Linked DNA regions of Arabidopsis thaliana. The protein of the gene in region 1 purifies or fractionates together with the protein of each later gene. This does not show direct contact. Each region holds a gene or a part of one and is shown in the gene's direction. Other genes may lie near its edges.

Region 1 (7,195 bases):
CTGCACACTAATATTGCAGACTCTAGTAGAGATTGGCCTTGAACTAAATTAGGAAAACAATATATGATCTGATTTTGCAGATTCTAGTAGTTAGACTTTAATTCCTAATTTCTTCTATCGTAATTTAATAAAATAATACACATAAACCAAAATGAAGAAACTTGAGCCATTAGTTATAAGCAGAGGAAAAGAAAAGAATGATGATCAGTTCAAGAATCATAATCGTGATCTTGCTTTTCGTCTTCACAACAAACTGTAAGTACATTTCAGATTTGCATAGTTGCATATGTCGTATAGTTAAGTATCTGATTTCGCACAACAACAAAAAAAAAGTGAAAAAAAAAACTGAAGTATCTGATATGAATGTTTCTAGAAGTCTAAACCGTGGATTGTTTATTCACGTATGTGGAAAAAGAATAATCAAGAACAAGTCAATCTGTGAATTGGAAAACAATCAACGTTTCTGTTTAGATTTAGGAAGTTGCCTATAATTTTTTATTTTTCCTTATTTTCTTTGAATGCTTGTTTACGTTTACTTATAAATAAGGATGTAGTCTCGTTTTTGAAAAGCATCCAAGCAATTGAGAGTTTTGGAGGATTCTGTCGAATTAGGCCGAGGAGAAGAGGACGTAGTTTCTCTTTGAGGAGTTTTACTCTAATCTTGTTACGCTATCATTTTCTCAGTTTTAATAAAGAGAGTTTAGAGATTATTTTTGGCTTCTAACAATTGGTCCGACCTAAAGATCTTATTTATCTAACTTTCCATATTGTTTTGTACACATTCAGCTTTAACAGAACTAATATCTACATTCTCTACCACTTCTATTCACTGTTCATCTTGTGAGCAGGAAAAAAACCCGAATCCATAGTATTTCTGTGTGTATCCATTCACAAGAACACTCTTTTTCGCGGTTCCTCCCTTCTACCCTTTATCCAACACCACAAACTTCCTAATTCTCCATAAAGATATGGTAAAGTTCCTTAAGAGTCTAAATCATCGAGTTGATACCGTTGCCATTAGGAACATAAAAGCAAACGAAAAGCTTCATCAACTTAAAGTATATATCTCTATTTTTCCATTAGGCACAAATAGATTTAGTCAAATGGAAATGGCCCTAATTGACTTGTCTTCAGCAAAAAAGATTACAAGCCTCCAGCAATATTTGGTGAATACTATTTTAAAGCCGATATGTACCATCATTTCGCTGGTACGTTCAGTATTGATTATGACGTCATTATTATAATGAAAACAAGTACTAATAATAACATTAATTGGTTATGACGGATTTGATATATGTTCAAAATTTGCTTGAAATATGCACAAATTGTGCTCAAAATATGACAAAAACATATGATCTAGTTATTTGTGCAAATGTTATCAATGTGTCATTTTCGAGTCTAAACCCAATAATACAAGTTGTAGACAAAAAAAATGTATTCATTCACAATTTTATTAACCAATTGTGGGAAATAAATATATTCTTAAAATAATTAGGAGAAAACCTTATGGTAAAACTACTTTCACCATAAATTGCAGCTTACTCTATCAATTTGATTCTTGAATAGGAGTTGAATATTTTAGTTACTTTATTTTTGCTGCATAGATTTTATTGTTCATAAATAATACATACAACTGTTATATGTGGATTATTTATCAATTATCAATATTCAAACTGAGACAAATTAAAAACTTCTCTAATTAGTGTATTAGACTAACCGGTTTTAAAAAAGCATGTAATTTTGATTGGTTTAGATAACTAATGATCGTCTTTTATATTGGGCTTATAGGCCCTTCTAGTCGGCCCAACACACATGAATAGCTCACAAATTTCTCTTCTCCTTCTTCCTCTTTTCTCACAGCTTAGCACAGACCGAATTTTAATTTCTAACTTTGACAAACAGATTAAAACCTTTCTTCGATTCGACACTGAATCACGAAATTTCGAGAGAGACTAAGATATGGTGAAGGTACGAATGAACACGGCGGACGTCGCCGCCGAAGTCAAGTGCTTGAAGCGATTAATCGGTATGAGATGCTCCAACGTCTATGATATATCTCCCAAGGTAACAAATTTCTACAATGAAAAGCTTCAAATCCCCTGATTCATTTGATTCGATTTCCATTAGGGTTTATGTTTTGATTTTGCTCCAATTTCTTCTACAGACGTATATGTTCAAGCTCTTGAATAGTAGCGGTATCACAGAATCTGGTGAAAGTGAGAAAGTTTTGCTTTTAATGGAAAGTGGTGTTCGTTTACATACCACAGCTTATGTCAGGTAAAAACCCATCTCTAGATTTTGAGCTTTTGTTTTGGGGAAGTAGTAAAGTAATGATTTTTTTTTCTCTCACAAATTTGTGTAGGGATAAGAGTAATACTCCATCTGGGTTTACTTTGAAGTTGAGGAAACATATCAGGACTAGGAGGCTTGAGGATGTTCGACAGCTTGGTTATGATAGGGTATGGAACTTGGAGTTTTCTATTGTGTTTTGTTTGGTTGCCATTTATTGCGTTTTTTGGTTTTAACTTTTGTTGTTTGTACCAGATTATTGTCTTCCAGTTTGGGCTAGGTGCTAATGCTCACTATGTTATATTGGAGCTGTATGCTCAAGGAAACATAATTCTTACTGATTCTGAGTATATGATCATGACACTCCTCCGCTCTCATAGGTTTGTTTTTGTTACTCTACTTTTATCAGATCGTTTGTTTTTGCTATGTTTGAACTGCTCAAAGTGCTTTTGTTCGTGTGGCTTTTTATACTGAATGATTGATTTTTATTTCTGTAGAGATGACAATAAGGGTTTTGCTATTATGTCTCGTCACCGTTACCCGATAGAGATATGTCGAGTCTTTGAGAGAACAACTGTTTCAAAGCTTCAGGAATCACTTACTGCTTTCGTGCTTAAGGATCATGACGCAAAACAGATTGAACCGAAGGAGCAGAATGGTGGCAAAAAGGGTGGGAAGTCAAATGATTCTACGGGTGCCAAACAATATACATTGAAGAATATTCTTGGTGACGCTTTAGGCTATGGGCCACAGCTCTCAGAGCACATTATTCTGGATGCTGGTCTAGTTCCAACTACCAAACTTTCAGAAGACAAGAAATTAGATGATAATGAGATTCAGTTATTGGTTCAAGCGGTGATCGTTTTTGAAGATTGGCTTGAAGATATTATAAATGGTCAAAAAGTTCCTGAAGGTTATATTCTAATGCAAAAACAAATTTTGGCAAATGACACGACTTCTGAATCAGGAGGTGTTAAAAAGGTCACTATTTTACTCTATGCTTCTTCATTTTTGTATTGTTTAATGGCAATGGATTTTATGTATTGAATTTTCGTTTGCCTGGTTGCCTACAGATGTATGATGAGTTCTGTTCAATCTTACTAAATCAATTCAAATCAAGAGTGTATGAAAAGTTTGAAACTTTCGATGCGGCTTTAGATGAGTTCTACAGCAAAATTGAGAGCCAAAGGTCTGAACAACAACAAAAGGCAAAAGAAGATTCTGCCAGTCTGAAACTCAATAAGATTCGCCAAGATCAGGTTTGTAGTATTTATTAATGTACTGGTTTGGAACTTCCATTTCCATATATCTCTGTAAAACTTTTCTTTAAACTTATCTTAATTGCAATGTTTCTATACTTGTGTTTTAGGAGAACCGTGTTCAAATTCTGAAGAAAGAAGTCAACCATTGTGTTAATATGGCGGAATTAATCGAGTACAACTTAGAAGATGTAGATGCTGCCATATTAGCTGTTCGTGTAGCACTTGCAAAGGGTATGGGCTGGGATGATCTAGCTCGCATGGTCAAGGAAGAAAAAAAATTAGGAAATCCTGTTGCTGGAGTCATTGACAGACTTTATCTGGAGAAGAATTGCATGACCTTGTTGTTGTGCAACAATCTCGATGAAATGGATGATGATGAGAAGACGGTTCCAGTGGAAAAGGTGTTGATCTCTCCTCACTTTGATTGAATATACAAAGCTCATCTTCTTTCTTGTTCTGACATATGGAGCACGATGTGGTTTTGTAGGTGGAGGTTGACTTATCACTTTCTGCGCATGGTAATGCTAGGCGCTGGTATGAAATGAAGAAGAAGCAAGAAACCAAACAGGAGAAGACTGTTTCTGCCCATGAAAAGGCTTTTAGAGCAGCTGAGAAAAAGACCCGCCACCAACTTTCTCAGGTAAGCTTCCAACCTCGTCGCTGTTAATCTTGTTTAATGTTTCTTCCTCGCAGTCAACTAATCATTTGCATTTTTCTGGCTGAAAGGAAAAAGTGGTTGCAACGATTTCACACATGAGAAAAGTCCACTGGTTTGAGAAATTTAATTGGTTCATTAGCAGTGAAAACTACTTGGTCATCAGTGGTCGTGATGCTCAGCAAAATGAGATGATAGTTAAACGTTACATGTCAAAAGGAGATCTGTAAGTTTTAATATATAGAACTATTTATCTAGTCTTTGTGTTAGTATTAAATATTCAAAGATGATGATAAGTTTTTAACCATGCTTTCTTAGGTATGTACACGCAGAGCTTCATGGAGCATCTAGTACTGTGATAAAGAATCATAAACCTGAACAAAATGTACCGCCTCTCACTTTAAACCAAGCTGGATGTTTTACGGTAAGCAATTTCATCTACTATTTTGGTTGTTTGAATTATGTGAATATGGTGCAATGTCTTGATGGCAGACTTTTGGATATAATATGATGCAGGTTTGTCATAGTCAGGCCTGGGATTCCAAGATTGTTACTAGTGCATGGTGGGTTTATCCTCATCAGGTCACTAAAACAGCTCCTACTGGGGAATACCTTACAGTTGGAAGTTTCATGATACGAGGTAAGAAAAACTTTCTTCCACCACACCCACTCATCATGGGTTTTGGATTATTGTTTCGTTTGGACGAGAGCTCCTTGGGAGCTCATTTGAATGAGAGAAGGGTAAGAGGGGAAGAGGAAGGAATGAATGATGTAGTCATGGAAACACATGCTCCTGATGAGCATTCAGATACTGAGTCAGAGAACGAAGCAGTGAATGAAGTGGTTTCTGCCTCAGGAGAAGTTGATTTGCAGGAATCAAGTACGGCATTGAGCCAAGATACTTCTTCTTTAGACATGAGTTCATCTGGTATTACTGAAGAAAATGTTGCATCAGCCACCTCACAGCTTGAAGATCTTCTTGATAGAACCCTTGGTCTTGGTGCTGCAACGGTGGCAGGCAAGAAAGATACAATAGAGACATCAAAAGATGATATGGAAGAGAAGATGAAACAGGAAGAGAAGAATGCAGTAGTGAGAGATAAGCCTTATATGTCAAAAGCTGAAAGAAGAAAGCTTAAGATGGGCCAAAGCGGCAACACAGCTGCTGATGGTAACACTGGGCAAGAAAAGCAGCAACGAAAGGAAAAAGACGTTTCTTCTTTAAGCCAAGCTACCAAGAGCATACCTGATAACAAGCCAGCTGGGGAAAAAGTTAGCCGTGGGCAAAGGGGTAAACTTAAGAAAATGAAGGAGAAGTATGCTGATCAAGATGAAGACGAAAGAAAAATACGGATGGCATTGTTGGCAGTAAGTACTTCCCTTGGATTCTCCATTTTTTGTCATAGACCATCATTGTTCTCTTATCAGTACTTCATAACTGGTAAATTAATTTGTCTCCCCTTTGCAGTCGTCTGGAAAGCCACAGAAGACTGATGTTGAATCACAGAATGCAAAAACCGCGGTCACTGAAGTGAAGAAACCTTCTGAAGGTAAAAAATTTCAATTTTGTCTTTTTTCTTCTGAAATTGTTTCCGGGCATACACTTTCCATTAGACTGGAACCATATGATACTGATAGTTGCTTTGGGTTGCTGTGCAGAGACAGACGATGCTGTGAAAATATGTTACAGGTGTAAGAAGGTTGGACATCTTGCTAGGGATTGTCATGGGAAAGAAACTTCAGACATGGACAAAGTGGTGATGGAAGAAGACGATATTCATGAAGTTGGGGACGAAGAGAAAGAAAAACTGATTGATGTCGATTACCTTACTGGTAACCCGTTACCAACCGACATCCTTTTATATGCGGTCCCCGTGTGCGGCCCCTACAATGCTCTCCAGTCATATAAATACAGAGTCAAAGCGATTCCAGGCAGCATGAAGAAAGGAAAAGGTAACAACACATTCTCTTCCAAGTAGTTGTAAATGTAGAGCTTTTGGACTGTATTGATGTTGACTTTTGTGTTTGGACAGCTGCAAAAACTGCAATGAATCTGTTCACACATATGTCGGAGGCGTCAGTAAGGGAGAAAGAGTTGATGAAAGCTTGTACGGATCCGGAGCTGATGGCTGCTCTTGTCGGGAATGTGAAGATCACAGCAGCAGGTTTGACGCAGTTGAAGCAGAAACAGAAGAAGGGCAAGAAAAGCGGGAAACAACAACATAGCTAGGTTTTAGGTAACTGCTGCGTTGCAGCGAAGAAGGCTTTTACAAACATATAGCAGATTGGTTCATATCTTTGTATGTTCACTCTTGCAAAAACGAAACATCATGTTACAGCCCAAATATTATCAGAATCAAAGTGATTTGAAAATTTAGTAAATTTTGGCTAAAGAGAGCTCTAGTTATGAACTAATACATTTCATTATCAGTAAAATCCATAAATAGCTGAAAACAATCTCAAAATAAGCTTTTAAATCCTACGGCATGGATTCTTCTACTCCTGTTTTTTTTGCTTTTAAAACCTTTTCTGCTTCATTTTTTCTTGTTTTGTAGAGAACTCAGAAATAATTTGCGAATTACAATTTGATCAAACCTCTCTTCTTCTCCTCTTTCTTCTTCCTTCTTCATCAAAACTATTACATTTCTACATTATCTCAAACATCTCCAAATCATTATCTTACACGAAGAAGGAAGAGATAAGAGCATCAATTTTTAAGTATCGGGGTTTCAATTTGCATTCGATCTTTTATTCCATATTTTACTATTTGATTTGATTTTACCAAAACCTAAAAAAAAAATCTGCAATTTTGGGAGGGAAAATTGTCCTTCAAACTATTCTTGATTTCGTCTCTGTCCCCTCCAAACAATAACCAAAAGCCAAAAGAGAAGTGCTACAAAACATCAATGGCGGAGGAGAGATCGCCGAGTAAGGTGAAGTTCATGTGCAGTTTTGGCGGCAGAATCCTCCCTAGACCATCGGACAGTGT
Region 2 (7,250 bases), on another chromosome or scaffold:
GTGTTTGATATTATAATCTAATATTAAATAGATTATATGTTAAATCTAGTAATTAGTTAAGTCACAACATATGTTTAAGTATATCTAATAATTAAATATATTGTGACCTTTATAAAGATAAAAAAAAAAGAATGTGACATTTTTCAAAGAATTTCATAAAACTATACTATAATTTAACCTTTTTTTGTTTTGTTTTGTTTTGCCATCTCAAAATTTGTAATCGAATATACAATTCACAAGCAAGAAACAAAAATAAAAATAATGGTTTATTTAGTTGTAATTTTTTGTTGGGTTTATAGTTGGGCTTTGATGTTGTGTAATTGGGCTTTGGTCACTCTTGTACTCTTTTTTAAAATTAATGAAACAGTTTGACGACAAAACAAAATAACCCAACAAGGAAGCCCAGAAAAAGCCCAATCGTAAATGAAACAAGCGGAAGAGACAGAGCACAGTGAACAGTTAATTCTTAACGCCGTGAAAAATACCTTTAACGCCGTCTTTTGTTCGTCGTCGTCGTGTTCTCTCTCTCAAACTCTCAGGTAACCAAACCTTCTTCAGTTTTCCGGTGGTTTCGTTTGTAGAAGCAAGTTTCTTCCTTTCCCAATAAAATTGTGTAGATATTAAAATCCCAGAAATTGATAAAACCAAAATTTCTCCCTTGTGACAAAATTTGCAGGTAAGTTGAGATTTCAGAAAAGATTGAGCTTTTAACAATTTTCATTCTTGGAATCACTTACTTTGGTGATAACTGATAAGATTTGTGTATTGTAAGTTTGTAACATATAGAGGAAGCTACTTTCAATGAAACACTGCGGAATGAGAGTTGGAATTGGTGTTGTTCCTGTTAATTTTCTATGTATGAGTGGAAATGTGTGCGTTGTATTTTCTGCTTATATTGGATGTTTTGGATAGTGTTTCAAAACGTAACTTGGTGTTAATTAGTAGAGGCCTCAAGGATTTAACTTTTCACAGCTTATGAGAGTGATCCTTTAGCAAATAATGAATCTCAAAAAGTTAAACGGAAATGGAAAGGACCACGATGAGGATACCTCCACGTCACCAAAATCCAGTGAAGCATCTCACTTGAGCTCTGGTCCTCAGGTATCATTTCACATGAATCTTTTACTTATCTTTGATCTTTCTATTTCACTAAGCTCATCTCATATTCGACAATAGATAAATGCTTCTTTATCTGACTTGTGTTAGATAGACATAACATTCATGCCTGTGTTTATAGTATAAGCACTCTGAATCAGTCTGAGTCTCTTCAAAAAAGTTCAAATCGAAAGGTAAACTGTTTTCTTGTTGGATAATCTTAGGAACCACAGAGCCCCTACGTGGAAGAATTCAAACTTGGAGATGAACAATTCAACTATTGCTTCCCACCTCCTGCCGCAGAGAAACACTCTATGACTGGCTATGATTGATTCAGGTGAGATCAGAGGTATCTCTGTAGCAGTTTCTTACTTATTCAAATCCCGTTTGTATAATTTATATACCATGCAGATGCAGTCATATTGATATTGCAGTTGTGTGCCATGTATGTATATTTGCCTTTGTTTCTTTGGTTTTGGGTTTTAATGTGAATTTGGGATTTTTAGAAGAAAATGATTAATGTTGATAGCACATGAAAAGGTCTTTGATTAATGTGATTACACTGATTATTTTAAAGTAAAAATTTAATTAATAGTTAAAGTAAATTTTGTTTAGATTGAGATTCGGTTTTTTTTTAAGTTTATATTTTACATTTATTAATATTCAATATATATATAAAAGAGTTAATATAATAAAATAATAATTAAATATGTCAAAAATAACTTTATTTGAAGATAGTTTTAACTATGAGTTATTTTGGTCTCTTTTTTAGAATGAAATCTTTGAGTTTGCAGTAAGGTGAGATTTTAATAAATGTTTGTAAATCCTAGATTTTGAATGATTTTAACAAATGCTAGATTCAATAAGATAAGATTTAAAATAAATTTAAGAATATCATGATTAAAAAATTGAATTAAAAGATTCATGAGCTTGATTCGGTAATGCCATATAAAAAGATGTCATCACAATATACATGGTGATTTGTTGGAAGATTTCGGAACCAATGGGTCGGAAGAAGCCGAGTAGTTCTCGAGGTGGAGATGATGAGCAACCACCTGCTGCGTCATCTCTCGTTGGTGCTGAATCCAAGAAGAAAGCTGTCCAAAGTGATGAAGAAGATAAGTACTCCATAAATACTGAGGAAGAGAAAGTTGTTATCACTGGGAAGAAGAAGAGTAATAAGAAGGTTACGCAGAAGCATGATGACGACGATGATTTTACTGAGGCTGTTCCCGAGAATGGTTTTGTAGGGAAGAAGAAGAAGTCCAAAGGTAAGAACAGAGGTGGCTCTGTTAGCTTTGCCCTGCTTTCTGGTAAGGAGGAAACGGATGATAATGAATCTAATGGGGACAAAGATGATGAGCCAGTTATAAGTTTTACAGGTAAGAAGAATGCGTCTAACAAGGGTAAAAAAGGCTTTGCGGTTTCAGCTTTTGATGCCCTTGGTGGTGATAAGGATGACGAGGAAGTGGATGGAGATGAGGAACAAGTTTCACCTATCACTTTCTCTGGTAAGAAAACGAGGTCCTCCAAATCTTCTAAGAAGACCACTAATAAAGTTGCTTTGCCTGACGAGGAAGAAGGGACAATGGGAGACGAAGAGAGCCTCGAAATCACGTTTTCCGGTAAAAAGAAGGGCAGCATTGTTTTGGCCTCACTAGGTGATGACTCAGTTGCCGACGAAACTAGTCAAGCTAAAACTCCTGATACTAAGAGTGTGGAGGTTATAGAAACTGGAAAGATCAAGAAAAAGAAGAAGAATAAGAATAAGGTTGCAAGGACATTAGAGGAAGAGGATGATTTGGACAAACTTCTTGCAGAACTTGGAGAAACCCCTGCTGCTGAAAGACCTGCTTCATCGACACCCGAAGTAGAGAAAGTTCAAGCTCAGCCTGGGCCAGTTGCACCTGTAGAGAATGCTGGTGAGAAGGAGGGTGAAAAAGAGACTGTTGAGACTGCTGCAGCGAAGAAAAAGAAAAAGAAGAAGGAGAAAGACAAGGAAAAAAAAGCAGCTGCTGCAGCAACCTCTTCTGTAGAGGCTAAGGAGGAAAAACAAGAAGAATCAGTTACTGAGCCACTACAGCCGAAGAAGAAGGATGCAAAGGGTAAAGCAGCAGAGAAGAAAATTCCTAAACATGTTAGAGAGATGCAAGAGGCTCTTGCACGGCGGCAAGAAGCAGAAGAGAGAAAAAAGAAGGAAGAAGAAGAAAAATTAAGGAAGGAGGAAGAGGAGCGCCGCAGGCAGGAAGAGCTTGAGGCTCAGGCTGAGGAGGCTAAGCGTAAGAGAAAGGAAAAGGAAAAGGAGAAACTGTTGAGGAAGAAGCTAGAGGGCAAGCTTCTAACAGCAAAGCAAAAGACTGAAGCTCAAAAGAGGGAGGCGTTTAAGAACCAGCTGCTGGCTGCTGGTAGAGGTCTTCCTGTTGCAGATGATGTTGGTGATGCTACTTCCTCAAAGCGTCCCATTTATGCCAACAAGAAAAAACCATCTCGCCAGAAAGGCAATGACACTTCTGTCCAGGTGGAAGATGAGGTAGAGCCACAAGAAAACCATGCAGCTACTTTAGGTGAAGTGGGTTCAGAAGACACTGAAAAGGTTGATTTACTAGAGTCAGCAAACACAGGCGAGAAATCAGGTCCTGCTGATGTAGCTCAGGAGAATGGGGTTGAGGAAGATGATGAATGGGATGCAAAAAGCTGGGATAATGTTGATCTTAAAATTGACGATAAAGAGGAAGAAGCTCAGCCTGTGGTTAAGAAAGAATTAAAGGCACATGATTCAGGTTAGTACGAAATGTAGTTAATTCTTCTCCCTAGTGTTTTATCCAATGTCTGTTTTTAATCTAATTTTTTGAACTGTTACAGACCATGAAACTGAAAAGCCAACAGCTAAACCAGCAGGTATGAGCAAGCTAACAACAGGTGCGGTAAAAGCTATTTCTGAAGTAGAAGATGCTGCTACACAGACAAAACGTGCTAAGAAGGGTAAATGCTTAGCTCCAAGTGAATTTATAAAAGAAGGTGGAGAAAATCTCCGTTCTATTATTTGCTGTATCATGGGTCATGTCGATAGTGGTAAAACAAAGCTGTTGGATTGCATCAGAGGAACAAATGTACAGGAAGGTGAGGCTGGAGGTATAACTCAGCAGATTGGTGCAACATATTTCCCTGCCAAAAACATCCGAGAGAGGACCAGGGAACTGAAAGCGGATGCAAAACTTAAGGTGCCAGGTCTATTGGTTATCGATACACCTGGCCATGAGTCCTTTACTAATCTGCGGTCAAGAGGTTCAAGTTTGTGCGACCTTGCAATTTTGGTGGTTGACATAAAGCATGGGTTAGAGCCACAAACCATAGAATCTCTAAATCTTTTGAGGATGAGGAATACAGAGTTCATTATTGCATTGAATAAGGTAAGACTGCTTGTTATTCTGCTACGATGGGATTTTTTTCTCTGTTGCAAAACTTATATGGAAAATAAAATCTTCACTTTCCAGGTGGATAGGCTATATGGATGGAAAACATGCAAGAATGCTCCTATCGTGAAGGCAATGAAGCAGCAAAATAAAGATGTTACGAATGAATTCAACATAAGGCTGACTGATGTAAGTTATACGTCTAGAGTTTCTTATGTATGGTTTGAGCTATCACTTTGTGTACATATTTTTCAAATTATGTTGTTCTATGGTATTCCAGATTATAACCCAATTCAAGGAGCAAGGACTCAACACTGAGATTTATTACAAGAATAAAGAAATGGGAGAAACTTTCAGTATTGTTCCTACTAGTGCTAAAAGGTATGATTCATGCCGTATGAATCTCTATTTACTGTTTGTAATATACAGCGTAACAGACAAGTTATTCATCCTAAACGTAATTGGGTAACGTTGGTTCTTGATATTACAGTGGAGAAGGGGTCCCAGATCTCTTGCTGTGGTTGGTTCAATGGGCTCAGAAAACAATGGTTGAGAAACTTACATATGTTGACGAAGTGCAGGTCTCTTTCCTTTCTCTTTAGGTAACACTTGTTTCTGCAATACTTCAGCATGCGGATTCTGATCTTTTCTTGAAATTGTTGAACAGTGTACTGTACTTGAGGTCAAAGTTATTGAAGGCCATGGGACAACGATTGATGTTGTGTTGGTAAACGGTGAACTCCATGAAGGTGATCAAATCGTCGTTTGTGGGCTACAGGCAAGTAAAAAAACTAATGATCCAAACAAGTAACGCACTGGGTATACATAGAACTTAGAAAAGTGAGCTTATTCTTCCTCATATTTCAGGGACCTATTGTCACAACGATTAGAGCATTACTGACTCCTCATCCAATGAAGGAGTTAAGGGTGAAGGTACTTTTAGATCTCCACTTCATGTCTCTTGTTACTGTTTTTTCCTCGAGTAACATACATTATGCAAATTGTTGCCGATGTCAATTTTTTTAACACACATCAAAAAGTGTTGTTTTGATGTTGCAGGGTACTTATCTGCATCACAAAGAAATAAAGGCTGCACAAGGCATCAAAATTACTGCCCAGGTGAAATGGACTAACTCTACTATAATCTTTGTCACTAGCAGCTGGTATTAAATATACTGACGTTTAGATGATATCCTAAATATTTTGGGTTGTGTTTAAAAGGGCCTTGAACACGCAATTGCTGGTACTTCCCTGCATGTGGTTGGACCTGATGATGACATCGAGGCAATGAAGGAGTCGGCTATGGAAGATATGGAATCGGTTTTGAGCAGGATTGACAAAAGTGGTGAAGGAGTTTATGTACAAACGTCTACATTAGGGTCATTAGAAGCATTGCTTGAATTCTTGAAGACCCCAGCTGTAAATATACCTGTCAGTGGTATTGGGATAGGGCCTGTGCATAAGAAGGATATAATGAAGGCTGGAGTGATGCTCGAGAAGAAAAGGAATATGCTACAATTTTGGCTTTTGATGTGAAAGTGACTACAGAGGCTCGTGAACTTGCAGACGAAATGGGAGTAAAAATCTTCTGCGCTGATATCATCTATCAGTTATTCAATCAGTTTCAGGTTTACATTGAGAATATCAAAGAGGAGAAAAAGAAGGAATCAGCCGGTGAGGCAGTCTTCCCATGTGTCCTTCAGATTTTACCTAACTGTGTGTTCAATAAGAGAGACCCAATAATCCTTGGAGTTAAGGTCCACGACGGTATACTTAAGGTATCCTATTCTTACTCTGCTATATTCTCGGTAACTTGCTCACATGTCCAAGGATTCTCAATCCTTTTAACATTCGTCTTGTTTGTTTTAGATCGGAACCCCCATTTGCGTCCCGGGCAGAGAGTTCACAGATATTGGCCGCATTGCCTCTATTGAGAACAACCACAAGCCTGTTGACTATGCAGAGAAGGGCGACGAGGTGGCGATTAAGGTAATAAGGGGATCATTCCCTTCAACAACCTTTGTATAGAGAAAGAGAGAGAGAGACAAAAGTTGTTGAGGTTTCAACTTGATGCTTTTCTCTGGTTGTATAACAGATTGTTGCTTCAAATCGCGAAGAACAGAAGATGTTTGGAAGGCATTTTGACATGGAAGATGAGCTTGTGAGTCACATTTCGAGGAGATCTATCGACATACTCAAAGCTGACTACATGGTAAGTCAAGGATAAGATAAGTTGTTTCCCATCTACGTTTTCTTTGACTCATTATTCTGACCCAAAACAAATGCTCGAAATTAAAACCAATAACAATTGCAGAAAGAAATGTCGACAGAGAAATGGAAGCTCCTATTGAAACTGAAGAGAATCTTCAAGATTCCCTGAACAGTCAAATGTCTACTCTAGAGCTTAAAACACTCGCGGGCCTTGTTGTTACGTCGTGTCTGCTGCATAACGAAGGGATTTATCTTCCTGATTCGTTTTTTTAATAACTATATTAGGCTGAAATTTGTAACCCTGTTAATTAATTTAGCCAATATCAAGAAAACTCTTAATAGGTAATACTGAAATTATATAATCTTATTGAAATTCTAAATTCTCATATAAAGCATGTTATTTCGTTAAAGAGAGTTTGTTACAGACTCTGACTTATATAGAGGCCTCTTGAACCCGGTCTACACACTAAACCTTAATTAGGGTTAACTCAACCGAGCTACAATCATCATATACAGTATATTATTAGTATA
Region 3 (7,740 bases), on another chromosome or scaffold:
ACTTACACTCGTAAAATCTATTTTCGGATCTTCCATAGACCTGTAAAGGGTGCCTTTAAACTCCTGCATCACTTTCTCAACCTCCTCGAGTACGCGCTTGAGTAAATTTACCTGTAACCAAAGTGTTACTCTATGCTTTCAAGAGCTTTGTAATGCAAGTGAATAATATGGTAACAAACAAGCGAATACTAGGAGAAACATGAGTGCTATCTGTCTGAAGAGTTGGATAATCGGGCATGCATACATGAGAAGGGAGAGCAATAGACTTCGCCTTCTTGTATTCCCGAACAGCCAAATCATACTCGCCTTTGCTAATACTACTACGAATTATACTGGGTAAATTGAAGAGTGTACGGAATCTCTGAAGCATTCCTTGTACAGACCTGATCTTCTCAGCTTGGGCCTATGAATAATGGTGAAAACAGTCTAAGCAGATAGCAAGAGGCTAGGAAAACACCAAAAAAACAATAGTACGTGACCATACAAACCTGTCTCTCAAAAAGTGGCTCAAAAGCACGATTAGCCCGTGATGTCACACTCTTCATACAATTAAACAAATGAGTAGTTCCCGATCCGTCTGGGTCGTCTTCAATCCGTTTCAGTTTTGATTCAATATCTGTAAAGAAAGGCAGTAATGTTCACATCAACAAGAGAGAAGAGTAAAGTTCAAAATAGATAATTGAGTGTAATAATGCATACCATCAATTGTTGTTTTACACGAGACAAAGCAGTCAAAATTATCTTTCACCAATTGTTTCCTTTGTAGATTACGGCCCTTTAAGTCACTTTTCAGGGCAAGGGCCCCAGATTCTAAGTCTGCTGCACTTGTCTCTTGGTGAATGCGAGAAATAAATAGCTTGGGATCGAAATGGTCAGAGGTGTACACCAACTTTTCTGCAAATTCTCAGACCAGTTAAAGTTAGAAAACCGGAAGTTGTACATCGAGTAATCCCGCATAAAGTTCAAATCAAACTCCAAATTCCAAGTATGGTCATGAAGAAATACATACCCCTAAGTGCATTATCCACTTTCTCAGCTTTTGAAAGACTTTCAGATGACTCAGTGATTAATCTCAGTGTCTTGTTATCTATTATCCTACAAGGTACACAAAAGCCATATTTAGATACCCCCTAACATACAGTGTTCCCCGAGATAGACTAAGGTATTCGAATGACGGTAGAGGTGAGCAGCACAAACGAGAGGAAGTACCCCAATTTTAGCGGATCAATGCATTCCATGCCACGAGGGAATGATTGCAAACTGGTAAGAACCACTTTCTTGTCAGCTCCAGATACCTTTCTATCAAGGTTCTGAGTCACGGATGGTGCTGTTCTCGACTCCCGCATATCACGAACCTTGCGTGCAAGCTGCCAAATGTCATTAGCATTTCAGTAAAAATGTTCATATTTCCAACTAAATTTTTCGTCATGCCATGATTCTAAAATAACTAATGGCCTTGAGCTGAGGTCTTCTACACCTCAATTCCATGAACAGATAATTAAAGGCCATACAACTAATATCACATATACGAATTGATTCAATTTCAAATCTTCAAATCGATCAAAGAAGCAAAGATTACTTAAGACTACTTCAAATCAAAACAATGCAATTGAAATTCGTAGGTCGAAATTGCACACATAATCTCTCCAAAATCAATTTAAAGCCAGATAAATCCAAACATGATAGAAACCGTACCTCAGCTTCATTAACCCGTTTCCAGCAATCTGGCTCCACTCCATCCCAAGCTCTATCATCTTCCTTCCGCGCTCGTCCTCTCTCCTTACCACTTCCACCTCTTCCTCTACCTCCGCCACCGTCACCACCACCACCTCTTCCCCGATCATTTCCCTCATCTTCATCCCCGCTCGAAATGCTAAGCAATTCCACCTCCGATTCATCATCCTCATCCATCGATGGCTTCCTTGACGCCTTCGCACCTCCCTTAGACGGAGGAGCTGCCGCCCTCTTTTGTCTCCGTGGCTGCTGCACTAAATTGGTGACTGGCTTACGGGAATTAGCGGAAGGAGGCTTCTGATAGGTAACATCTCTCTGAGATTGCTCCTTCAACGCCATTTGAAGTAGCTCATCTTCATCTAAATCATCACTGCTAGACATTGTTATCTCTGACTTAGATGATCGTCTTTGTCTTCCTCCCTTGAGCTAATCGCAGAGATCTGTGCAGTTCTTATTTGAATTTAGTTTTGTGACTTTTTCCTTTGAAGAATTTTTCTTCTGTTTTCGACTTTTTCCAATTTCCATGTATTAATGAAATAAAAACTGGAGACTCACAAAACGCAGTCGTTGATTATTTTAACCTAAAAGTTATAAATTCTCCTTACTCAAGCTTTCTTCTTCGATCGAAATTTATAAATACGACGCGACAAACCTGAATTGCGTTCAGAAACCCTAAAGCTCTCAAATATATCTCTGCAACGAAAAGAAATCACCTGCTTACTCTTCTCCTGAAAGACCTGATCTTCTCCGGTGAATTGTTTTTTGTTCCGTCAATCTTCCGAGTTTGTTTTTGCCTAATATGAAGTTAAACCCATTACAGAAAAAGGTAATCTTCTCTATCGCTCTGAACATTGTAGTTGATTTTGTTGATTTATTGTTGTTGTTTCTAGAGTTAATGATCGGATACCTTATTGTATGTTTTGTTTTCGGTATTGGGGGTTAATCACAGGCTATATTCATATTTGATTTCTATCAATGGATCCGAGGAATTCGAGTGCGTGGGGTGGGGGTGATGGTCTCCCCCTTATCTCATCCATGGGAGGTGTTGAATCAAAGAATAGATGCTGTGTGACTGACGACGATGGCTCTATTGGTACGAAGCTATGTGAGAAACCTAAAGCTGAGGAGATTGATTTTTCTGCTCGGAAAAAGAAGTTGAAATCGAAGAAAGGCGGGTCTGTTAGCTTTGCTCTTCTCGATGTTGAAGATGACAAGGAGGAAGCAGAGGATGGAGACGACAAAAATCCTTCTATTAGGAGTGATGAGGTGGTTGGAGAAACTTCAATGAGTAAGAAAAAGAAGAAGGATAAGAGTGGCAAGCATGGGGTATGTGAAGAAGATGATGATGCGGACAAGATTCTTGCTCAACATGGGATAACAACTACTGTTTCAACAGGGCCTGAAGCGGAGATAGCTCTAGCTCAACCTGAGCAAGTTGCATCTGCAGATGGGGCTGTTGACAAGGACGGAGAAGAAAAGACTGTTGAGTCAGCTACAGCGAAGAAAAAGAAAAAGAAGAAGGACAAGGACAAGAAAGCAAGTGCTTCTTTAGCTATTTCTTCTGTGGAGGCTAAGGAGGATAGACAAGGGAAGAAAGATGTAAAGATTAAAGTAGCGGAAAAGAAAGTTCCTAAACATGTTCGAGAGAAGCAAGAGACTCTTGCGCGGTGGAAAGAAGCTGAAGATGGGAAGAAGAAGGAAGAAGAAGAGAGATTGAGGAAAGAGGAAGAGGAGCGCCGTATAGAGGAAGAGCGAGAAAGGGAAGCTGAAGAGATTAGGCAGAAGAGAAAGATCAGGAAAATGGAGAAGAAGCAAGAAGGCCTGATTCTAACAGCAAAGCAAAAGCGTGATGCTGCTAAGAATGAGGCTTTCAGAAAAAGGGTGTTGACTGATGCTGGAAGTCTTCTTGTTGCAGATAAAAACGGTGATTCCTCAAAACGTCCCATATATGGCAATAAAAACAAATTAGCTTGCAAAAAAGCAAACGATCCTGCTTCTGTCCAGGCTAAAGGTGATGGGGAAACCAAGGAAAATCATGCAGCAGATGAACCATGTACTTTACCTGACTTGGTTTCAGTTGAAGATAGAAGGGTTGGTATTATCGAATCAGTAGACACAGAAGAGACACATGAATCTGTTGATGTATCACAAGAGAATGGTGATGAGGAAGATGTGTGGGATGCAAAAACTAATTTTACCATCAAGGGTGATTCTGATGATGAGGAGGAAAAACCTCAGCCTGTGTTCAAGAAAGGTTTAAAAGACACTGCATCAAAGGCACATGATTCAGGTCAGTAGAAACACCCTAGGAAGAAGAACCTCAGCCTGTGGTTTTATTATCTTTTGTCTCTGATTTATCTAATATTTTGGGTTTCAATACAGTTCCTGGCGCAGATAGACCAACAGTGAAGCCTGGAGGTTCTGGCAAGCCAAAAACAGCTGCCAAAAAAGCTATGCCTAAGGTGGATGATACTACCCGGCCGAAAGATACTTCTAAAAAGGATGAAGGCTTAGTACTGAATGAACTTGCTAAAGAAGTAGAAGAAAATCTTCGCTCTCCAATTTGCTGCATCATGGGTCATGTTGATTCTGGTAAAACAAAGCTGTTGGATTGCATCAGAGGAACAAATGTTCAGGAAGGTGAAGCTGGAGGTATTACTCAACAGATTGGTGCAACCTTTTTCCCTGCAGAAAACATCCGTGAGAGGACCAAAGAGTTACAAGCTAATGCTAAACTCAAGGTGCCAGGTATATTGGTTATCGATACACCTGGACACGAGTCATTCACAAATCTGCGGTCAAGGGGTTCAAATTTGTGTGACCTTGCAATTCTAGTGGTTGATATAATGCGAGGTCTAGAGCCACAAACCATAGAATCTCTTAATCTTTTGAGAAGAAGGAATGTAAAGTTCATTATTGCCTTGAATAAGGTGAGACTTCTTGTCATTCTGTTGGCATGTGTTTGGTATCTTTATTGTCACTGATGTATGGCACAAAACCTCCAAATTTCAGGTGGATAGGCTATATGGGTGGGAAAAAAGCAAGAATGCTCCTATAAGGAAGACAATGATGCAACAAACGGGAGATGTGGTTAAGGAATTTAAAATGAGGCTAAACCGAGTAAGTTCTTCGTCTAAAGGTTTTAATCTTTTAGTGTGAATGGGATGTGCGTGTTCTAAACTTATTAACTAATATTGTTTCATTTGTGTTCCAGGTTCAAAACCAGTTCCAAGAACAAGGACTCAACAGTATGCTTTATTACAAGAACAGAGAAATGGGAGAAACTATCAGTATCCTACCTGCTAGCGCTATTAGGTCTGAAATGTTTTTGCTATCTCCAAATTTTAGTCTAACATAGAGGTCAACCATGCTAACTAACTAATTGATTAATGTTGGATACTGATATTTCAGTGGGGAAGGGATTCCAGATCTTTTACTGTTCTTGGTTCAATGGGCTCAGAAAACGATGGTGGAGAAACTTACATATGTTGACAAAGTGCAGGTTTGTCTCATTCCTCTTTTAGGTAATGAATCGTTTCTGCACTACTTCAGCTTTCTTATCTTTTCTTAAAATGGTGACAGTGTACCGTCCTTGAGGTCAAAGTTATTGAAGGCCATGGTATTACAGTTGATGTTGTTTTGGTCAACGGTGTACTCCGTGAAGGTGATCAAATTGTTGTTTGTGGGTCACAGGTAAGTAGAAAACTCATGGGTCATACCTAAACATGTAATATGCCAAGTATATCATAAAACTGGAGACTTGATGTAATTGGTTTATTTTTTTCCTTTCTTCTATTTCAGGGACCAATTGTAACAACTATTAGATCATTGTTGACTCCTTATCCTATGAACGAGATGCGGGTGACGGTACTTTCAGATAGTCCATTTCTTGCCTCTTGTTATTATTATTCCTAGGGAAACATGGTTTATGCAAATAGCTTTCTACATTCCTTTTTCGTACACAATGACAATTTTTGGTCTGATATTTCAGGGTACCTATATGCCTCACAGAGAAGTAAAGGCTGCGCAGGGTATCAAAATTGCTGCACAGGTGATTGTCTCTGACATTACAATTACTTTATTCTTACCTTGATCTTAATTACTTAGCACAAATGAGGACATCCTGAACAAATGTTTCCTATATTTTTGGTGTTTATAAAAGGGCCTTGAACACGCCATTGCTGGTACTGCCTTGCATGTGATTGGACCTAATGAGGACATGGAAGAAGCCAAGAAAAATGCCATGGAAGATATTGAGTCAGTTATGAACCGCATTGACAAAAGTGGTGAAGGCGTTTATGTACAAGCATCTACATTAGGGTCCTTGGAAGCATTGCTCGAGTTCTTGAAGTCCTCAGATGTAAAAATACCTGTCAGTGGTATTGGCATAGGACCTGTGCATAAGAAGGATATCATGAAGGCCGGGGTAATGCTAGAGAAGAAAAAAGAGTTTGCAACGATTTTGGCCTTTGATGTGAAAATAAGTGCAGAAGCTCGTGAACTTGCAGACAAAATGGGAGTAAAAATCTTCTGCGATGATACCATCTATTGTCTGTTCGATAAGTTTAAGAGTTACATAGAGGGTATCAAAGAGGAGAAAAAGAAAGAAACAGCTTGTGAAGCAGTTTTCCCATGTATCCTTCAGATTTTACCAAACCATATCTACAATCAGAGGGACCCAATTATCCTTGGAGTTAAAGTCAATGATGGAATACTAAAGGTATATGGTATTTTCTCATTCAGGATCTGAGTACACTTTTCTGCTGGATCACAAAGATCTAACAATACGGTCTTGTTGATTTAGGTTGGAACTCCCATTTGCATTGTTAAAAGGATTGAGAATGTAAGAGTGTTTATGGACATTGGGCGCGTCTCATCAATTAAGAATAACAACAACATGCCAGTTGATTATGCAAGGAAAGGACAGGAGGTGGCTATTAAGGTATGAGATCCCTCTTTTTGTCATCATTTTTCTAGTTTTTACTGCCTTTCCTTAAAAACTAATGTTTGTTTTCGTATTAGATCATTGCTTCTAACCCAGAAGAACAGAAAATGTTTGGGAGGCACTTTGGTGTAGACGACAGGCTTATCAGTCACATTTCTAGTCGATCCGTGGACGTAATCAGAACTAATTACTGGGTAAGTTGTATACAGTCTTTCTTGCCCTGGGTTGTCAAAAATGTTGTTTTAACATTAGCTTGTGTTTTAGTAAAGCTTAAACTGATATTCGAAACCTGATTGCAGAATGAGTTATCTAACGACGAGAAGGATCTTGTTTTGAGACTTAAAAGGATATTCAAGATACAATGAAGATTTTTGAGATTTGAGAGTGAGGGACTTAAACTTATGTATTTTTTTTCTTTTTTTGAAGTGCTGATTTTTTTATTTTTTTTTCGTTTTTAATAATATAGACAAACAACTCCTTTAATGCCCCTAAATACTTTATGGAAGCAATTGTCTTTTGTTTTTGGCTACCAATATTTTACAAAATATTTTGATATACATATAATTTACAAGATAATACCCAGACTGGCTTATTGTGTAACTTAATAACATTTGAGGCGAATCTATGAATAAAGAGAAATAAAGGACCTATTCACAGATTCAGACAACATCGTCGCATTTTGATTTTGAATCGATTATTTTACCTACACTCGTGTATGAGCCAGTCCTCCGGAATAAGACAACATCTCCAGGAGTCTCTACGAAATTCTTCGGCTCTCAAAGGTATTCACGACGGTCTTTTAGCTCTATTCTCTATTGAGAACCTGATTTTTCCGGTGAATTTTGATTATTGCAAAGTTGGAGAATTTTTGAGATTTAGAAGAGATACTGGCTTAGGATTCGTATTCATGTCGAGCTTATTACACTGTAGAAATGTCGTAGATTGTGCGTTTACTTCTTCCACTGTTCGTCGCATTGTCAATTTAGGGTTTTTAGTGGGTAGAATAAGAACGTTGTGTTCAGTGTCACAAGTGAAATCAGAGAATCTCGAAAAGCAAAAAC
Region 4 (7,720 bases), on another chromosome or scaffold:
CTGGCTCAGGCTGAGCTTGATCTTTCTCTTCTTCGGAAGCAGGCTTTCCAGCAGCAGGAGTTTCTCCAAGTTCTGCCAGAAGCTTGTCCAAATCATCATCTTCCTGAAGTGTCCTTCCACTCTTGTTCTTCTTCTTATGTTTCTTACTCCTTGCCGATTCTACAAGCTCCACACTCTTAGAATCAGAAGTTTTAGATTGACTACTTTCTTCATCACCTATTGAGGCCAAGACACTGCTGCTCTTCTTTTTAGATGATTTTTTCCTACCTGAAAACGTGATATCATTATCCTCTGCTTCCTCCCTGTTATCTTCATCAGCAAGCAGGGCAAAGCTAACAGAGCCACCGTCTTTTTTACCTTTCGACTTCTTATTATTCCCTACAAAAGCATTATCCGGAACAACCTCTTCCTCCACCGCAAACTTATCAGCAAAATCATCGTCGTCATCCTGCTGCTGCTGCGTACCCTTCTTATTCCTTTTCTTACCCTTCTTCTTCCCAGTGATAACAACCTTGTTTTCCTCAACTTTAGGCTCCTCAAGACATATTGAGTATTCATCATCATCAATTTGAACAGATTTCTTATCAGATTTAGAACCAACGAGAGATGACGCAAGTGGTTGCTCATCATCTCCACCTCGAGAACTCGGCTCCTTCCGACCCATGGATAAATTACAGAGCCGGTTCCAAATTCTTTCCGGCTAATCAATCAATCCAGGTAAAAAAAAATTAGTTTTTTTTGAGGATCGGCACAAAGGACACAGGAGATGAGAGAATCGAAGAAGCTTACCTTACGTGAGTAATCAAAGCGAGCCGTTTGAGAGAGAGCAAAAACTCTTACTTCATCACTAATCTAATCCTTTTTTTAATCTAATTTCTCAACTCTAATTCCAATCCATTATTAGCCCAATTATTAAAGCTCCTCTCCCAAGCCCAATATTCAAAACCCAATTTACAAACATTAATCATTTTCTTCTAACAAGCCCAAATTCACAAAATCAAAAGCAAAAGAAAAAGGAATAATATATCTGCCCCGTTCTCACCTGAATGGCTGAATCAATCATAGACAGTCGAAAAGTGTTTCTACTAAACCACACAAGCATGAATGTTATGCCTATCTAACAAAAGTCAGCTAAAGAAGCATGTGTCCATTGTTGAGGATGGAGAGAGATGAGTCAAGATCAGAGATAAGCCAAAGGTTCATGTTCCATGATACCTGAGCTGGAGTGAGATCATACTTCACTGACTTGCCCGAAACTAGAAAATTTTCAACGACCGCCACGACTCTCCGAGAGAAACCCGGTCTCAAGCAATCTCCCTTGCACGCGAGTGGCAATCCTAGGTCTTTTCAAGCAATTACGTTTTCTTTTGTTCCTAGAGAAACGAATCGAGAAGCTCATGCCTTAACAAAGCTCTCTCTTAAAAACTTCCAAAAACAAAAAACATTGGATGCGGATATGTTTTAGAAAAGTATTTCAAACAAATCATAACGCGAGAAGATTATTTTTTTAAATGAATACTTTAAACAGCTAAATCATGCTGATTTCCCTTATTTTAGTCCATATTAATAAAATTTATGTGTCTTAATTATATAAGTTAGATTTCAGTATATTAAAACGTGAAAATTACAACTGTTGAATCCCATTCAGAAATTACATTTTATAACAAAGAATATGACATATCTTTTATTTTAAAAGAAAAAATAACACTATCGAGAAAGAAAACGGAGAAAAAAATAGTATTTAACAAACGTCACAATTTTTTTTTATTAGAATCGGTAAAATCTACACAGCGTTTAGCTCAACCCTAGGAAGCTTCACGCCGGTTTCTCAAAGCTTCGCTATTTCTCGGTTCTCTACTCTCTCTCTCTCTCTCTCTCTCTCTCCGCGCCGCGCTCTCTCTCTCTAAACTTAGCTCAGCCTATCGATTAATTCCTCTCCGGAATAAGGTAAAGCTTCTTCGATTCTCTCCTCTTAGCCACAGTATCGCTTCCTCGTCTCTCTTGTGGTTTCATTTTCTAAAAGGATTGTGTTGTGCCGATCCCAGAAAACCTAATTTGTTTCCGTTCGAATTGTAGGAAATTTCACCTCGATTTATTGATTAGTCGGAAGAATTCGGAACCAATTCTGAACCAGACCTGAAATTTTCCAATGGGGCGGAAGAAGCCGAGTGCTCGAGGTGGAGATGCTGAGCAGCAACCTCCTGCGTCATCTCTCGTTGGTGCTACTAAATCTAAGAAGAAAGGTGCTCAAATTGATGACGATGAGTACTCAATAGGTACTGAGTTGTCTGAGGAGTCTAAAGTTGAGGAAGAGAAGGTTGTTGTTATCACTGGGAAGAAGAAGGGTAAGAAAGGTAATAAGAAGGGTACGCAGCAGGATGATGATGATGATTTTTCTGATAAGGTTTCGGCTGCGGGGGTGAAAGACGATGTTCCTGAGATAGCTTTTGTTGGGAAGAAGAAGTCGAAAGGTAAGAAGGGCGGTGGTTCTGTTAGCTTTGCCTTGCTTGATGATGAAGATGAGAAGGAGGATAATGAATCTGATGGTGACAAAGATGATGAGCCAGTTATAAGTTTTACGGGTAAGAAGCATGCGTCTAAGAAGGGTAAAAAAGGCGGTAATTCATTTGCCGCTTCAGCTTTTGATGCACTTGGTAGTGATGATGATGATACAGAGGAAGTGCACGAAGATGAGGAAGAAGAGTCTCCTATCACCTTCTCTGGTAAGAAAAAGAAGTCATCTAAGTCTTCGAAGAAGAACACTAACTCGTTTACCGCTGATTTGCTCGATGAAGAAGAAGGGACTGATGCTTCAAACTCTAGAGACGACGAAAATACAATTGAAGATGAAGAGAGCCCTGAAGTAACGTTTTCAGGTAAGAAGAAATCTTCTAAAAAGAAGGGCGGCAGTGTTTTGGCCTCAGTAGGTGATGACTCAGTTGCAGACGAAACTAAAACTTCTGATACTAAGAATGTGGAGGTTGTGGAAACTGGAAAGAGTAAGAAAAAGAAGAAGAATAACAAGAGTGGAAGGACAGTACAGGAAGAGGAAGATTTGGACAAACTTCTTGCAGCACTTGGAGAAACCCCTGCTGCTGAAAGACCTGCTTCATCTACGCCTGTAGAAGAGAAAGCAGCTCAGCCTGAGCCAGTTGCACCTGTGGAGAATGCTGGTGAGAAGGAAGGAGAAGAAGAGACTGCTGCTGCGAAGAAAAAGAAAAAGAAGAAGGAGAAAGAGAAGGAGAAAAAAGCAGCAGCTGCTGCTGCAGCAACCTCTTCTGTAGAGGTTAAGGAGGAAAAACAAGAAGAATCAGTAACTGAGCCACTACAGCCGAAGAAGAAGGATGCAAAGGGTAAAGCAGCAGAGAAGAAAATTCCTAAACATGTTAGAGAGATGCAAGAGGCTCTTGCTCGTCGGCAAGAAGCTGAAGAGCGAAAAAAGAAGGAAGAAGAAGAAAAATTGAGGAAGGAGGAAGAGGAGCGCCGCAGGCAGGAAGAGCTTGAGGCTCAAGCTGAGGAGGCTAAGCGTAAGAGAAAGGAAAAGGAAAAGGAGAAACTGTTGAGGAAGAAGCTAGAGGGCAAGCTTCTAACAGCAAAGCAAAAGACTGAAGCTCAAAAGAGGGAGGCTTTTAAGAACCAGTTACTTGCTGCTGGTGGAGGTCTTCCTGTTGCAGATAATGATGGTGATGCTACTTCCTCAAAGCGTCCCATTTACGCCAACAAGAAAAAATCATCTCGCCAGAAAGGCATTGACACTTCTGTTCAGGGGGAAGATGAGGTAGAGCCAAAAGAGAATCAAGCAGATGAACAAGATACTTTAGGTGAAGTGGGTTTAACAGACACTGGAAAGGTTGATTTAATAGAGTTAGTAAACACAGACGAAAATTCAGGACCTGCTGATGTAGCTCAGGAAAATGGGGTTGAGGAAGATGACGAAGAAGATGAATGGGATGCGAAAAGCTGGGGTACGGTCGATCTTAACCTTAAAGGTGATTTTGATGACGAGGAGGAAGAAGCTCAGCCTGTGGTTAAGAAAGAATTAAAGGATGCTATATCAAAGGCGCATGATTCAGGTTAGTATGAAAATTTAGTTCTTTGTTCTTCCTAGTGTTCCATCCATTGTCTGATTTTTGTCTAATCTTTTGCATTTCTACACAGAACCTGAAGCTGAAAAACCAACAGCTAAACCAGCAGGTACAGGCAAACCACTAATAGCTGCCGTAAAAGCTACACCTGAAGTGGAAGATGCTACACGGACAAAACGTGCTACCCGAGCAAAAGATGCCTCTAAGAAGGGTAAAGGCTTAGCTCCAAGTGAATCTATTGAGGGTGAAGAAAATCTCCGCTCTCCCATTTGCTGCATCATGGGTCATGTCGATACTGGTAAGACAAAGCTGTTGGATTGCATCAGAGGAACAAATGTACAGGAAGGCGAGGCTGGAGGTATTACTCAGCAGATTGGTGCAACATATTTCCCAGCTGAAAACATCCGAGAGAGGACCAAGGAACTGAAAGCCGATGCAAAACTCAAGGTGCCAGGTTTATTAGTTATTGATACACCTGGCCACGAGTCCTTCACGAATCTGCGGTCAAGAGGTTCAAGTTTGTGTGACCTTGCAATTTTGGTGGTGGACATAATGCATGGGTTAGAGCCACAAACCATAGAATCTCTAAATCTTTTGAGGATGAGGAATACAGAGTTCATTGTTGCATTGAATAAGGTAACACTAATTGTCATTCTGCGAGGATGGGATTTTTTTCTCTGTTGCAAAACCTATATGGAAAATAATATCTTCACCTTCCTCCAGGTGGATAGGCTATATGGATGGAAAACATGCAAGAATGCTCCTATCGTGAAGGCAATGAAGCAGCAAAATAAAGATGTTATAAATGAATTTAACTTGAGGCTGAAAAATGTAAGTTATAGGTCTAGAGTTTCTTATTGTATGGTTTGAGCTATCAATTTGTGTACATGTTGTTCAAATTATGTTGTTTCATTGGTATTCCAGATTATAAACGAGTTCCAGGAGCAAGGACTTAACACTGAGCTTTATTACAAGAATAAAGACATGGGAGACACTTTCAGTATTGTTCCTACTAGTGCTATTAGGTATGAATCTCTATTTACTGTTTGTAATATACAGCGTAACAGACAAGTTATTCATCCTAAACGTAATTGGGTAACGTTGGTTCTTGATATTACAGTGGAGAAGGGGTCCCAGATCTCTTGCTGTGGTTGGTTCAATGGGCTCAGAAAACAATGGTTGAGAAACTTACATATGTTGACGAAGTGCAGGTCTCTTTCCTTTCTCTTTAGGTAACACTTGTTTCTGCAATACTTCAGCATGCGGATTTCTGATCTTTTCTTGAAATTGTTGAACAGTGTACTGTACTTGAGGTCAAAGTTATTGAAGGCCATGGTACAACGATTGATGTTGTGTTGGTAAACGGTGAACTCCATGAAGGTGATCAAATCGTCGTTTGTGGGCTACAGGCAAGTAAAAAACTTATGATCCAGACCCGAACAAGTGATGGCACTGGGTAGACATAGAACTTTTCTAAGTGATCATATTTTCTTCCTCATATTTCAGGGACCTATTGTCACAACAATTAGAGCATTACTGACCCCGCATCCAATGAAGGAGTTACGGGTGAAGGTACTTTCTGATTTCCACTTCATGTGTTTTATTACTGTTATTCCCCAGAAATATGGTTCATGCAAATCACTTCCTAGGTTCTTTTTCTATACACAATGAGAATTCCTGGTCTGATGTTTCAGGGTACTTATCTGCATTACAAAGAAATAAAGGCTGCACAGGGTATCAAGATTACTGCCCAGGTGAAATGGACTTCTATATTCTTTATTAAATATACTTATGTTTAGATCACATCCTGAACCATTTTTGGGTTGTGTTTAAAAGGGCCTTGAACACGCAATTGCTGGTACTGCCCTGCATGTGGTTGGACCTGATGATGACATCGAGGCAATTAAGGAGTCGGCTATGGAAGATATGGAGTCGGTTTTGAGCAGAATTGACAAAAGTGGCGAAGGAGTTTATGTACAAGCGTCTACATTAGGGTCATTAGAAGCATTGCTTGAATACTTGAAGTCCCCAGCTGTAAAGATACCTGTAAGTGGTATTGGCATAGGGCCTGTGCATAAGAAGGATGTAATGAAGGCAGGAGTTATGCTCGAGAGAAAAAAGGAATATGCTACAATTTTGGCTTTTGATGTGAAAGTTACTACAGAGGCTCGTGAACTTGCAGACGAAATGGGAGTTAAGATCTTCTGCGCTGATATCATCTATCATCTATTTGATCTGTTTAAGGCTTACATTGAGAATATCAAAGAGGAGAAAAAGAAGGAATCAGCCGATGAGGCAGTCTTCCCATGTGTCCTTCAGATTTTACCTAACTGTGTGTTCAATAAGAAAGACCCAATAGTCCTTGGAGTTGATGTCATCGAGGGTATACTTAAGGTATCTATGCTTTTAATTTCCTACATTCTCTGTAACTCTCACCCATGATGACACAAGTGCTAGGGTTCACACTTTCTTATCTGTCTTGTTTGTTTTCAGATTGGAACCCCCATTTGCGTCCCTGGCAGAGAGTTCATCGATATTGGCCGAATTGCCTCGATTGAGAATAACCACAAGCCTGTTGACTATGCAAAGAAGGGCAACAAGGTGGCAATAAAGGTAATAATTGGATCATTCTGTTTTAACAAGGTTGCAAATCTTTTGCTTACAGAGAAGAAAAGAGTTATGTTTGCTGCGGTTTCAGTTTCACGCCTCGTAATCGATGGTTTCTTTGGTATACAGATTGTTGGTTCGAATGCTGAAGAACAGAAGATGTTTGGAAGGCACTTTGACATGGAAGATGAGCTAGTGAGTCACATATCGAGGAGATCTATCGACATACTAAAATCTAACTACCGGGTAAGTGGAGAAAATGAGCTTGTTTCCCCTTTTAAATCATCATTTTGATAGGAAAACTGATGTAGATCAAAAACCCAAACTAATTTGCAGGATGAATTATCGTTGGAAGAATGGAAGCTAGTAGTGAAACTGAAGAACATCTTCAAGATACAGTAGGAGATTCAAATGTCTACTTTGGAGCTTGAAACACTCTCACATGCCTTGTTATGCCGTGTCTGCGTCGATGCAGAACAAATAGATTCGTCTTCCTGCTTCTAGCGGAGAAGCCTTCACAGAAGATTTGAAAGAGAGACAAGAGAGAGTTTTTGTTTTTGGTTTATTTTCTTTCTTTTTTTGGTCTTTCTCCCTGAAAAGTGCTGAATAATTGGTTCATGAACCTTCATGCTGGCAAATTGCAGGGGAAAGAAGAGCCTTGGGTCTTGAGATATACCACATATCATCTTTATATATGCTTTTTTTGACTTATTTCCATTTTTGTTGACAAAGGAAAATATTCGAATAAATGTTTTTGTCCAATTACTATGTTCTCTGTGGTGTCAAATCTTGAGTTTCCGTTAAGGGAAAATACTTACAAAAATGAATTATCACATCTAATATCAAGTTACAGTCATGAAGTTTTGGTGAAAGCTCATCTTCGTTTATCAAAATATACGTATATTATAAGATTATTTGTTGAAAACAAATATTTTGATTTCGTAATAATATGGAATGTGTAACTAAAAGCAAGCTGCTCCTCCTTTTATGGAGATGTGAAAAGCATGAATGCAAATAATACATAAGAT

Evidence for each region.
Region 2: the proteins of emb1441 (region 1) and AT1G76720 fractionate together in Arabidopsis thaliana (co-fractionation; one large-scale study listed by BioGRID). This does not show direct contact.
Region 3: the proteins of emb1441 (region 1) and AT1G21160 fractionate together in Arabidopsis thaliana (co-fractionation; one large-scale study listed by BioGRID). This does not show direct contact.
Region 4: the proteins of emb1441 (region 1) and AT1G76810 fractionate together in Arabidopsis thaliana (co-fractionation; one large-scale study listed by BioGRID). This does not show direct contact.

Annotation. Positions count from the first base shown.
Region 1 is NC_003076.8:20,307,501-20,314,695, reverse strand, and holds emb1441 (zinc knuckle (CCHC-type) family protein), read left to right. Parts: upstream 1-1,803; 5' UTR 1,804-1,959; coding exon 1,960-2,064; intron 2,065-2,164; coding exon 2,165-2,277; intron 2,278-2,362; coding exon 2,363-2,459; intron 2,460-2,544; coding exon 2,545-2,669; intron 2,670-2,786; coding exon 2,787-3,270; intron 3,271-3,362; coding exon 3,363-3,548; intron 3,549-3,658; coding exon 3,659-3,952; intron 3,953-4,038; coding exon 4,039-4,191; intron 4,192-4,277; coding exon 4,278-4,432; intron 4,433-4,524; coding exon 4,525-4,630; intron 4,631-4,722; coding exon 4,723-5,574; intron 5,575-5,674; coding exon 5,675-5,756; intron 5,757-5,865; coding exon 5,866-6,159; intron 6,160-6,239; coding exon 6,240-6,436; 3' UTR 6,437-6,663; downstream 6,664-7,195. Other genes in the region: AT5G49920 (Octicosapeptide/Phox/Bem1p family protein), read left to right, coding at 7,113-7,195.
Region 2 is NC_003070.9:28,793,629-28,800,878, reverse strand, and holds AT1G76720 (eukaryotic translation initiation factor 2 (eIF-2) family protein), read left to right. Parts: upstream 1-2,002; 5' UTR 2,003-2,068; coding exon 2,069-3,875; intron 3,876-3,957; coding exon 3,958-4,505; intron 4,506-4,589; coding exon 4,590-4,697; intron 4,698-4,788; coding exon 4,789-4,889; intron 4,890-4,998; coding exon 4,999-5,089; intron 5,090-5,175; coding exon 5,176-5,286; intron 5,287-5,375; coding exon 5,376-5,441; intron 5,442-5,567; coding exon 5,568-5,627; intron 5,628-5,729; coding exon 5,730-5,946; intron 5,947-5,972; coding exon 5,973-6,286; intron 6,287-6,377; coding exon 6,378-6,497; intron 6,498-6,603; coding exon 6,604-6,735; downstream 6,736-7,250.
Region 3 is NC_003070.9:7,407,425-7,415,164, reverse strand, and holds AT1G21160 (eukaryotic translation initiation factor 2 (eIF-2) family protein), read left to right. Parts: upstream 1-2,115; 5' UTR 2,116-2,560; intron 2,561-2,683; 5' UTR 2,684-2,709; coding exon 2,710-4,024; intron 4,025-4,116; coding exon 4,117-4,664; intron 4,665-4,746; coding exon 4,747-4,854; intron 4,855-4,948; coding exon 4,949-5,049; intron 5,050-5,145; coding exon 5,146-5,236; intron 5,237-5,316; coding exon 5,317-5,427; intron 5,428-5,535; coding exon 5,536-5,601; intron 5,602-5,725; coding exon 5,726-5,785; intron 5,786-5,896; coding exon 5,897-6,454; intron 6,455-6,538; coding exon 6,539-6,676; intron 6,677-6,756; coding exon 6,757-6,873; intron 6,874-6,978; coding exon 6,979-7,044; 3' UTR 7,045-7,234; downstream 7,235-7,740. Other genes in the region: SEC5B (Exocyst complex component SEC5), read right to left, coding at 7-111, 245-403, 489-616, 700-894, 1,010-1,095, 1,210-1,367, 1,696-2,115; AT1G21150 (Mitochondrial transcription termination factor family protein), read left to right, coding at 7,395-7,740.
Region 4 is NC_003070.9:28,830,740-28,838,459, reverse strand, and holds AT1G76810 (eukaryotic translation initiation factor 2 (eIF-2) family protein), read left to right. Parts: upstream 1-1,711; 5' UTR 1,712-1,947; intron 1,948-2,076; 5' UTR 2,077-2,149; coding exon 2,150-4,073; intron 4,074-4,158; coding exon 4,159-4,721; intron 4,722-4,808; coding exon 4,809-4,916; intron 4,917-5,009; coding exon 5,010-5,110; intron 5,111-5,205; coding exon 5,206-5,296; intron 5,297-5,383; coding exon 5,384-5,494; intron 5,495-5,591; coding exon 5,592-5,657; intron 5,658-5,779; coding exon 5,780-5,839; intron 5,840-5,921; coding exon 5,922-6,479; intron 6,480-6,578; coding exon 6,579-6,698; intron 6,699-6,821; coding exon 6,822-6,938; intron 6,939-7,028; coding exon 7,029-7,094; 3' UTR 7,095-7,558; downstream 7,559-7,720.